Linked DNA regions of Cricetulus griseus. The protein of the gene in region 1 interacts with the protein of each later gene in a biochemical or structural test. Links are inferred from orthologs where the notes say so. Each region holds a gene or a part of one and is shown on either strand. Other genes may lie near its edges.

Evidence for each region.
Region 2: the proteins of histone PARylation factor 1 (region 1) and Parp2 form a complex in vitro, tested with the Homo sapiens proteins (2 studies listed by BioGRID). The link is inferred for Cricetulus griseus from reciprocal best matches to the Homo sapiens genes HPF1 and PARP2.

The regions. Positions count from the first base shown.
Region 1 is NW_023276806.1:238,645,742-238,650,133, reverse strand, and holds the start of histone PARylation factor 1, read right to left. Parts: upstream 3,060-4,392; coding exon 3,042-3,059; intron 2,778-3,041; coding exon 2,618-2,777; intron 1,132-2,617; coding exon 942-1,131; intron 1-941. UniProt on the Homo sapiens protein: Cofactor for serine ADP-ribosylation that confers serine specificity on PARP1 and PARP2 and plays a key role in DNA damage response.
Region 2 is NW_023276807.1:206,468,586-206,473,161, reverse strand, and holds the start of Parp2 (poly [ADP-ribose] polymerase 2), read right to left. Parts: upstream 2,865-4,576; 5' UTR 2,779-2,864; coding exon 2,739-2,778; intron 2,389-2,738; exon of another isoform or gene 2,278-2,388; intron 382-2,277; coding exon 235-381; intron 1-234. UniProt on the Homo sapiens protein: Poly-ADP-ribosyltransferase that mediates poly-ADP-ribosylation of proteins and plays a key role in DNA repair.

The DNA.
Region 1 (4,392 bases):
AATCTTATCTATCAGAACACAAAGCCAGGGTTCTTAGTACCTAATTATTTTTTCTCAAATATAAAAGATGGGAAAGAAAGTCTGTGAACAGAGTGTTACAAACAACTGATCACCTTAATTTTACAATTTATTACGGGGGGGGGGGGGGAACAAGAAGAAAAAGTGGAGTAAAAGCCAAAAATAAACAAGACAGATTATAAAAAAAATTGAAGAATCTTATTCATGTATATTTTATTTTAAAATTGAAGAAACCAGTAGATTCTTGGCTAAGGTTCTAGCAGCCAATTAGTGTCAAAACCAAGAACAAAATCCATCTGACCCCATTCTCAGCCCCACGAGTGTTCTGTACAGTACTTCTCTGTAGCCATGACTCATCTTTTCTTCTATTACTTCACTTTGACTTTACAACACAGGACTACTGCTACATGTGCACAAGCTATTTTTCACATTACCCTATCTGCTAACAGTTTACCTATCTGCGGGCATTCCCTTCATTCTCATAATATTCCTATCAAATATATGCTATTATCTCTGTAATTTTAAGAAACTGAGTCACAGAAAGACCACAGTCACCACTGACTGGCATACCCTCATCAAGATAATAAATGGCAGGACCAATCTTTTGAGTCCTTTGGCCCCTGGAAGTGCATGGTTTAAGTCAAACAACTGGTTTACATCATCTTATTTGGGCTTCAAACAAGCTCTTCTGATCCCCAAAGGACAAAACTTTATATTGGAAGAGAAAAAGAGATCAGGGAAGATTAATGTAAAGAGTTCACCAGCCTAGGCAGGCTACAGAGGTGAAGGATAGCCAGAACAATAGGTAAACCACAGAGCCACCATAAGAGGAAACAAGTCTTTCCTTGGGGATGCCAGTGAAGGGCTGGAAGACTCATTGATACCAAAGCAGCTGTATTTGAGAGAGAGAGATGATCTTTTACCTGAAATACCCCATGTGGTACTGAGTTTTATTATCTCCAATAATAATGGTCTGGAACTCAGGAGGGTCATAGTAAAACCTCCAGTGAAGATTACAGTTCAAGCCTGTGGATTTTGTCTTCATTTTATGTTTCCCAGCAAGGATATCATAGGGACCCACTAACCGAAGTCCAAGGCTTGTGGCAAGTGCATCTATAAGGAAAATAAGTTTACTCAGGCAACACTTTCTAGAGGCAAGTAGGAAATAATGCCTTTCATCACTTTTTTTTTTTTTCTCTTATTTTGAGACAGGGTTTTTCTGTGTAGCCCTGGCTGTTATGGAATTTACCGTGTAGACCAGGCTGGCCTCAAAATGAGAGGTTCACTTCCCCCTGCCTCCTGATTCCAAATAATTCTTAAGCAAGTTGTTTTAAAGAATGCTTTTAAAATCTGTAAAAGTGTTTTTGCTCAATGGAAGAATGTTTAACAGAAATGTGGCACTAAATTTAGAATTCCCTCTAAACCTACTACTGAAGTAGCTTAACATTTGAAACATTCCTGTCCCTCATGTAGCCCAAGCCAAGCTGCTCTGCATTCTTTTAGGCCTAAGAGCCACACATTTCCCTTGCCTCACTGCTATCCACTATTAGCTACAAATACACAGATTATGGGGGAGACAACATAGGTCAACGATAGAAAAAACCATTTTCTTTCCTTCTCCTCAGTGGGCACTCCAGGTTCTGTTGACTTTCAGCTACACTGTGGACCATAACACTCAATGACTCCATCTGTTTTCACAACCATGGGGGCAGAGTAAGAAAACCACAGTGCCATGAAGGCTGTGCAGATGTGCAAACTGATAATCTCACAGTGCCTGCAGCTTTTCTAGGAAGGATACAATCAAGCATTAAGCCCTCCACCCCTCAGTAAATATCCTTGAAGAAAATTCTTAGTTTACTTAGTCTATAAGACAAGTTTATGCAACTGCTAATTTTCCTTTACACGTACATGGAGGAATATCCTGAAACCGATTGCCTTTGCCAATAGGTGACAGTAGCATATTATAGCATTATGGTTTGAGTATGACGTTAAACTAAAAAGGCTCATGTACTGAAAGCATGGGCCCCAGCTAGTGACATTACTGAGAAGTGACCTGGCCAGTAGGAGGTAAGGTCTGGCCGGAGGAAGTGGTCAATGACTTGAAGGGTTCCATCCTATCCTATGATTCTTGCACCCTAATGTTCTTTGCTTTCTGTTTGCCAAGATGTACACAAGTTTCCCAACACATCCCTCTGGCATAACATATCACAGGCCCCCAAACAAGAAAGTCAACTAACCAGGGTCAGGAACCTTTAAAACCATGACTCCAAATAACTCTGTCTTCCTGCCAGGCTGTTTTTCTCAGGTCACAGCCATAAAAACTGACTACAGTTAAGTATTAATTTGTTTCTTTGACAACATAGCTCTCATTACAAACTGTGGGAATGTTCCTCTGTCTTCTTTTTTTGATATGATCTCACTGTGTAGCCCAGGCTGGCCTGAAACTCGTTAAACTCTCAAACCAGTGTCCTAATTTCGGAGACTGTAATAGGCATGTGTCACCATACCTGATTGCAATCCCCTTTCTCTATGAGTTGGTTCTGTCTTTCCTCCAGTGTCCTATCATCTCTTCCAGTCACAGAAGCACAAAGGAACTCACCAGCTGGCTTTTCAGGATCAAGGTCTTCACAGAACTTCCAGAAGTGATAGAAATCTTCAGGCAGGGAAAGCTTATAAAGGTCTTCGACTTCTTTTCGAAGGTCGCTGGAGACATCGGCTTCACAGGATTTACTTTTCTTCACTTCAACTGTCTTCTCACGCTGGAAATTGGCATATATAACTTTAGTTCTCCATAAGAAACCCCTAGCAACTCACCTTGCATACCAATTATCACCTATAGTTGGTTAGTTTCTATGAACTACATACATTTTTTCTAAAGATTTACTTTTATTATTGTGAATTATGTACATGTGTGTATGTCTGTGTTGGGGTTATGTGGCTACCTGTATTGGAGTTATATGATGTTGAGAGCTGCCCAACATATCAGGAACTGAACCTGGGTCCTCTGAAAGACCAATGCATACTCTTAACTGTTGAGCCATCTTTTGAGCACCATTTTAATATATGTTAAAAAATGACATTTATAAATAAAATCCTAGGAATTCTTTCATACAAAGTAGAAATAGTTTACATGGTGGTCAAGTAATACCTACACACAGCATGTCTTTAAATATGCTTCTCCATGGTAGCAGAAACACAAAAGAAAAATTTTAAAAATTGTCAAAAAGGCAGAATTTCATTACTCCATAATCAGCACTAAAGATGATTGCCTGGGCAAAGCCAACATGGGATATACAGTGAAACCATCTTAAAAAACAGCAAATAAAAAAAATGTACAATGGCACATATGTACAAAGAAGCCAGGATGAAACCAATTACTTTGTATTCTAACCACAATCATTGTGAACCTTCCATTTACAACTGGGGGCTTCCCTTTTAACACTCCAAACAAAATGAGGGGAGAGATGCTAAAGTTAATGAGAATAAACTCTGATCGAAAACCAACCACTTATTTCAGAAAAGGCTTTGTAATGCCAAGACTTGCTATTCTTTGCATCTTCCAGCACCCGTGCAACGTAAACAAGCTAGGCTTGAGGATGCTACTAGACAGCTGACTCATTCCTGCCATGGAAACATGCATTTGGAGTATATTATTCCCATCACAGTCCTCCTTTCAACCCAGACCTGGCTCTGAACAGAGGGTAACTGGACATATAACCCTCTCAGGGCTAGTGGCATCTAGTGGTGCAGAGGCTGGGGACAATGCTCAACACTGTACAATGCACAGGAGGGCTGCACTCAATGTCAATTATACTAGAGTTGAGAACTTTCACCTAAGTGTTTCTGATAATTATGTTTTCTCAGAGGCCCAGGTCTATTAATATGTATCAAAGTCTACCTGGTGTATTTACAAATCAAATGGCATGGTTGTTCACCATGGCACTGTCCTTAGGGATTTAAATGCCAACTGACAGGGGAATGGATAGTTACAGGGCTTTCAAACAATGGAGTACACTAAATAAAGGGGAGTATAGTTAGACAACAAGGCTCAATTATGAACTATTTGAAAGGAGTAGGTGTAGCCTTGTTAGAGGAAGTATGTCACTGGGGGTGGGCTTTGAGATTTCAAAAAGCCCATCCCAATCCTAGAGTCTCTCTTCCTGCTGCCCGTGAACGAGATGCAGAACATCCAGCTACTTTTCCAGCACCATGTCTGCCTGCACCCCACCACACTTCCAGCCCTGATGATAATGGACTAAACCTCTGAAACTGTAAGCTAGCCCCAATTAAATGTTTTATAAAAGTTATTATAGTCACAGTGTCTCTTTACAGCAATAAAACAAGATGTACCATAATAGCTTTTTAAAGAAAACA
Region 2 (4,576 bases), on another chromosome or scaffold:
AATCAAGAGGGCTGTCTTGGCTTGAAAGCTGTCATAATTAACTTTGCCCTTCCTGAGTAATCTGGGTCTTCTGCCTAGGTTGTAATCCATCTCAAATCTATGAAAATAAAGGATTCGACAAAGTATACTGGTACTGCAGAATGCCTAAATGATACAGAAATTAATTATATCTTCAAAGAGGAAGAAATATCATCCCACTTCCTTCAGAGGCCCGAGAGCTGCCTGGCCTGTTACCTTGCTGGCTGTTTGTCCTGTCTGCATCCTTTCCTCCAGCCGTAGGCCCCTTTCTCTGGCATGTACGCATTTTCTTGCCAGGAGGAAAGTCTTCTGTTGCTTTGCTGCCATTATTAACTTTCTTGGCTTCATTTAGCACCTCAGAAGCTAAAGGCAAGATCAACAAGCAAAGAATTACTACAGAAGATGATCTAATAAGTAAACAACACCGAAGCAAAATAAAAAAAAAAAAACCAGGAAAAGTTAGGAGGAAAATATAAGGAACCCCTCACTCTAGAGTCTGAGAAGCAAGAATTCCAGCAAAATTAACATGTGCTGTGAAGATTGCTGACCTAGATACTCAAATATTTTTTATGTTAAAATGACAATCAATTGGGCTTACCGCCTAGATATATATGGCAATGGGGTTGGGCTCATTTCTCTCCCATTCTATGGAAATCTTAAACAGACGATGAACATTGTTTACATGAAGAAAAACCTAACTTCCTGCATCCCTTATGATCTAGATTTTGACATTGTAATTCTGTCAGACCCACCTCGGGAAATACAATCTTATTTAAATTCTTTAACAACTCTTGCATACATCTCTATTATAAAGAAGGGCAACTCCTCTTAGAGAAGCCCACACGCATGTTCTGTGGTGTCTTTCTTCTCAGGTATTTCTTTTCTTCTAACCCTTGTGCTTAAAATGTATGCTAGTATCTCTTTTAATAAACTCCCAACTCTGGTTCATCTTGCATACTCCTGAAATTCCTTTCTACCTTAAAGCCAAGAGTGAAAGGTCAGGCATTATGCTGGTCTGCCACTGTTACCTGGTGGAATCCACTCAGGCAGTATGCTGGTCAGCTCAGGGTTCCATGGGAACTAAGTCTGCACGCAGGTGTAAAGGACCCCTTTAAAAGACAGACTCCTGCCCACTTATGCTCTCTCTGCTCCTCTCTCTTCTCCTTTCCCACCTACGCTCTCTCTGCCCCTCAGTCTCTTCTCTCTGCCTCTCTCTCTTTGGCAACCAGCCATAGCGGTCAGCCATTAACCCTGTTCCTCTTCCCTCTTAGTCTCTTTACTCTGTCGGGCCTAGAATAAACTGGTTAATATGTCTCATCTCATGTCTCATCCTGCGCCTCTTCTTTTATTTCTAATTTAAGCAAAAGAATTTGCCTGAGTGGAGGTCTCTGAAAAAAACTTTGGTTGCAGCCAGGGATACCAGAGTTGTGTCCCTTTCCTTGAATATGCTGACAATAAGAAAAAAGGGGGGGGGTTATGATTTTATTTTTACATGTATGGATGTTTTGTTTGCAATTATGCATGTGTACTACATGAATGCCTGGTGTACCTGGAGGTCAGAAGAAGGCATAAAATCTGGTAAGGTGGCTATGACCAACCACGTGGGTGTTTGGAATTGAACCCAGGTCCTCTTCAAGAGCAACAAGTGCTTTTAAAAAGCACAATCCAACTCTCTAGCCCTCTGACAATTTCTTTTCTTTAACTTTGAGATAGTGTCTGTCTACATAGCCCTGGCTATCCTGGAACTCACAGAGATCCTCCTGCCTCTGCCCCTCCCAAGGGCTAGGATTAAATGGGCCAATACACCCACCGTTCTAACAAATTCTGAAGAAAGAACTTAAGGGGGCTGGAAAGATGGGTCAGGGGATTTGGGTTCAAGTCCCATCACTCACATGGTGGGACACAACTGGGGTCAGTAACCCCAGTTCCAGGGTATCCAACGCCTCCTTCTGGCCTCCAGGCACACACACACTTGATATATATATATATATATATGTATATATATATATATATATATATATATATATATTTATAATATTCAAAGATTAAATAATTTTTTAAGAAATAATTTAAGATGTTCTTTTGGACGTTTACAAATAAATGCCACACCACTCACTACTCTTGAAACAATCCAAGCAATCCTTCCTAAAGTGCTCTCCTGACCATATATTAACAAAAAACAGGAAAAAAATAAATGTACAGAGATGTTCGAAGTTCATTACTTGTGGCATGGGCCTGCTAACCTTTGGTCTTCCATACCTTATTTCAAACTAGATCATGTGATCATGGTCAATAAGGTGTTCTACAGTCTGGACCAGTTTACAGCCAGCTTATTGAAGCTTCAGAACCCTGGAGTTGGTCATACCTCAGCTGTAAGAAATGTAAAAATGAGACCACACCAATAGTATGTAACTTAATAGGATACAATTAAGAACACAGTATGCAATCCACAGCCAACAATTCCGAGATCTGAATTTTACTTTCTGAACTCGGCTGTATCTTTAAAAGTTTGACATAAGTAGTTAATCACTTTCCTATACGCGTTTATCCTTTGGCAGTGCTACACTCAATAACGAAGACCTTCTTTTAATTGCATGGCATTAGTGAGTAACAGTACTTGGCAGTTATGTCTGCTGTTACGGCTCCACACGCCTCTTCGGATTGAACTGTAGAATGAAAAGACGAGCTGTTCCCTCTGACTCTGCGGACACGGTTCTCACCTCGCCTCCTGCAGCTGGATCTCCGCCGCCGCGGCGCCATGGCGCTTGAGGCCCGACGTCATCATAAGCAGCCGAAAAGCGCGGGCTTCTTGTCTGGAGCGGGAGCCTGCGCTAGATCGCATGCAAATAAAGTGTGCGCTGTGCCTTGTGGGAAACCACCATAACTGAGAAAGCGCTTTCTCTCCGGAGCCTTATAAAGCCCGCCATTCACCAGGCTGTAGTGGGCGGAGGAAGCTCATCAGCGGGGCCACGTGCTGAGTGCTCGTCACTCCCCGGCCCCTGGGAAGGTCTGAGACTGGGGCCTCCCGCGGCCCTAACCGGGCCCTCCCCGAGCGGGGAGGTGAGTTCCCAGAGAGCAGGGCTCCACGCGTGGGCAGACTGGGCAGGAGAGGCCCCCGAGCGGGCGGATGCCTCCCTCGCCGGAGCTTGGAACAGACTCACGGCCAGCGCAGATCGAGTTCAATGGCTGAGGTGAGGTACCTCGCGGACCTCATAACCCAATTCAGACTACTCTCCCCTGCCCTTTTATATTTCTATGTTTTCTTCCAAATCTCAATTCTGTTTTACTCATTTTTAACTGTGCATTTAACTACTCCCTGAGAGCTGCGCAAATCTGCGATTACAACAGATATTTAGTACAATTTTACTAAAATATTTAGCTAGTTCCAGGACAGCCTCCAAAGCCAGAGAAACCGTCTTGAAAGAAACCAAGTAAACCCCCATAAAACAAATATTTAGAAGAGAGTTGGACATCATGACCATATATATTATGGCTTTAGAAAAAAAATAGATGTAGCTTATGCATGTAGCTTGCAATTAAGAATAAATTATATATATATATTATATGTACATATCAAAAGCAAAAGTGAACCTGTAGCTTGTAGTCCCATAGAAGAACAGGCTGGGGGATTCCTCACCAAGGAAAAGAGCAGAGCCGAGCTAGGAGCACGAGCTAGGAGAAGCGTTTGAAATGGGAGTGGAGCAGGGTTCATTGTAAGCCAGGCTTTCCTACCAAGGTCAGAAGCTGTGACTTGACTCATGTGTAGATACCTCAGATTAACTAATGACCAATACTCAAAAATAAAAATTTTGATTATGGTTTCCCATCCCTCATCTCTTCCCAGATTCTCCCCACCTCCCCATCTCCCCACTCACCCATCCAACTCCACACCTTCTTTTTTTTTTTTTTTTTTTTTTGGTTTTTCGAGACAGGGCTTCTTTTGTGGCTTTGGAGGCTGTCCTGGAACTAGCTCTTGTAGACCAGGCTGGTCTCCAACTCACAGAGATCCGCCTGCCTCTGGCTCCCAAATGCTGGAATTAAAGGCGCGCGCCACCAATGCCCGGCAACTCCATGCCTTCTTGCTCTTGATTTAGAAAACAGACAATTAAAAGATAAATAAAAATCACAAGTGATATGTACACATGCCACCACCGACACACACAAACCCCAAAGCTCATTAAAGAAAATAAAGTGTGTGTGTGGTGCTGATCGCTTTTAATTGTGGACTCTGGAGAAAGAGGCATGCCTATTTCTGAATTTAAGGCTAGCCTGATCTACAGTGTGAATTCCGGGACAGCCAGGGCTACACAGAGAAACCCTCTCAGAAAAACAAAACAAAAGAATAAAAAATAAAGGCAGAAAAAGCATAAGAAAAATATACACGCATACACACACACACACACACACACACACACACACACACACACACAAGCAAACAAACAAACCCCTAAAAACATGAAGTTGGAAACCATAACATACAAGCAAAAGATCAGTAAAGTAAAAAGGGGCCAAACAAAGCAATACAAGACAAAAAACAAACAACAAAACCAACCAACCA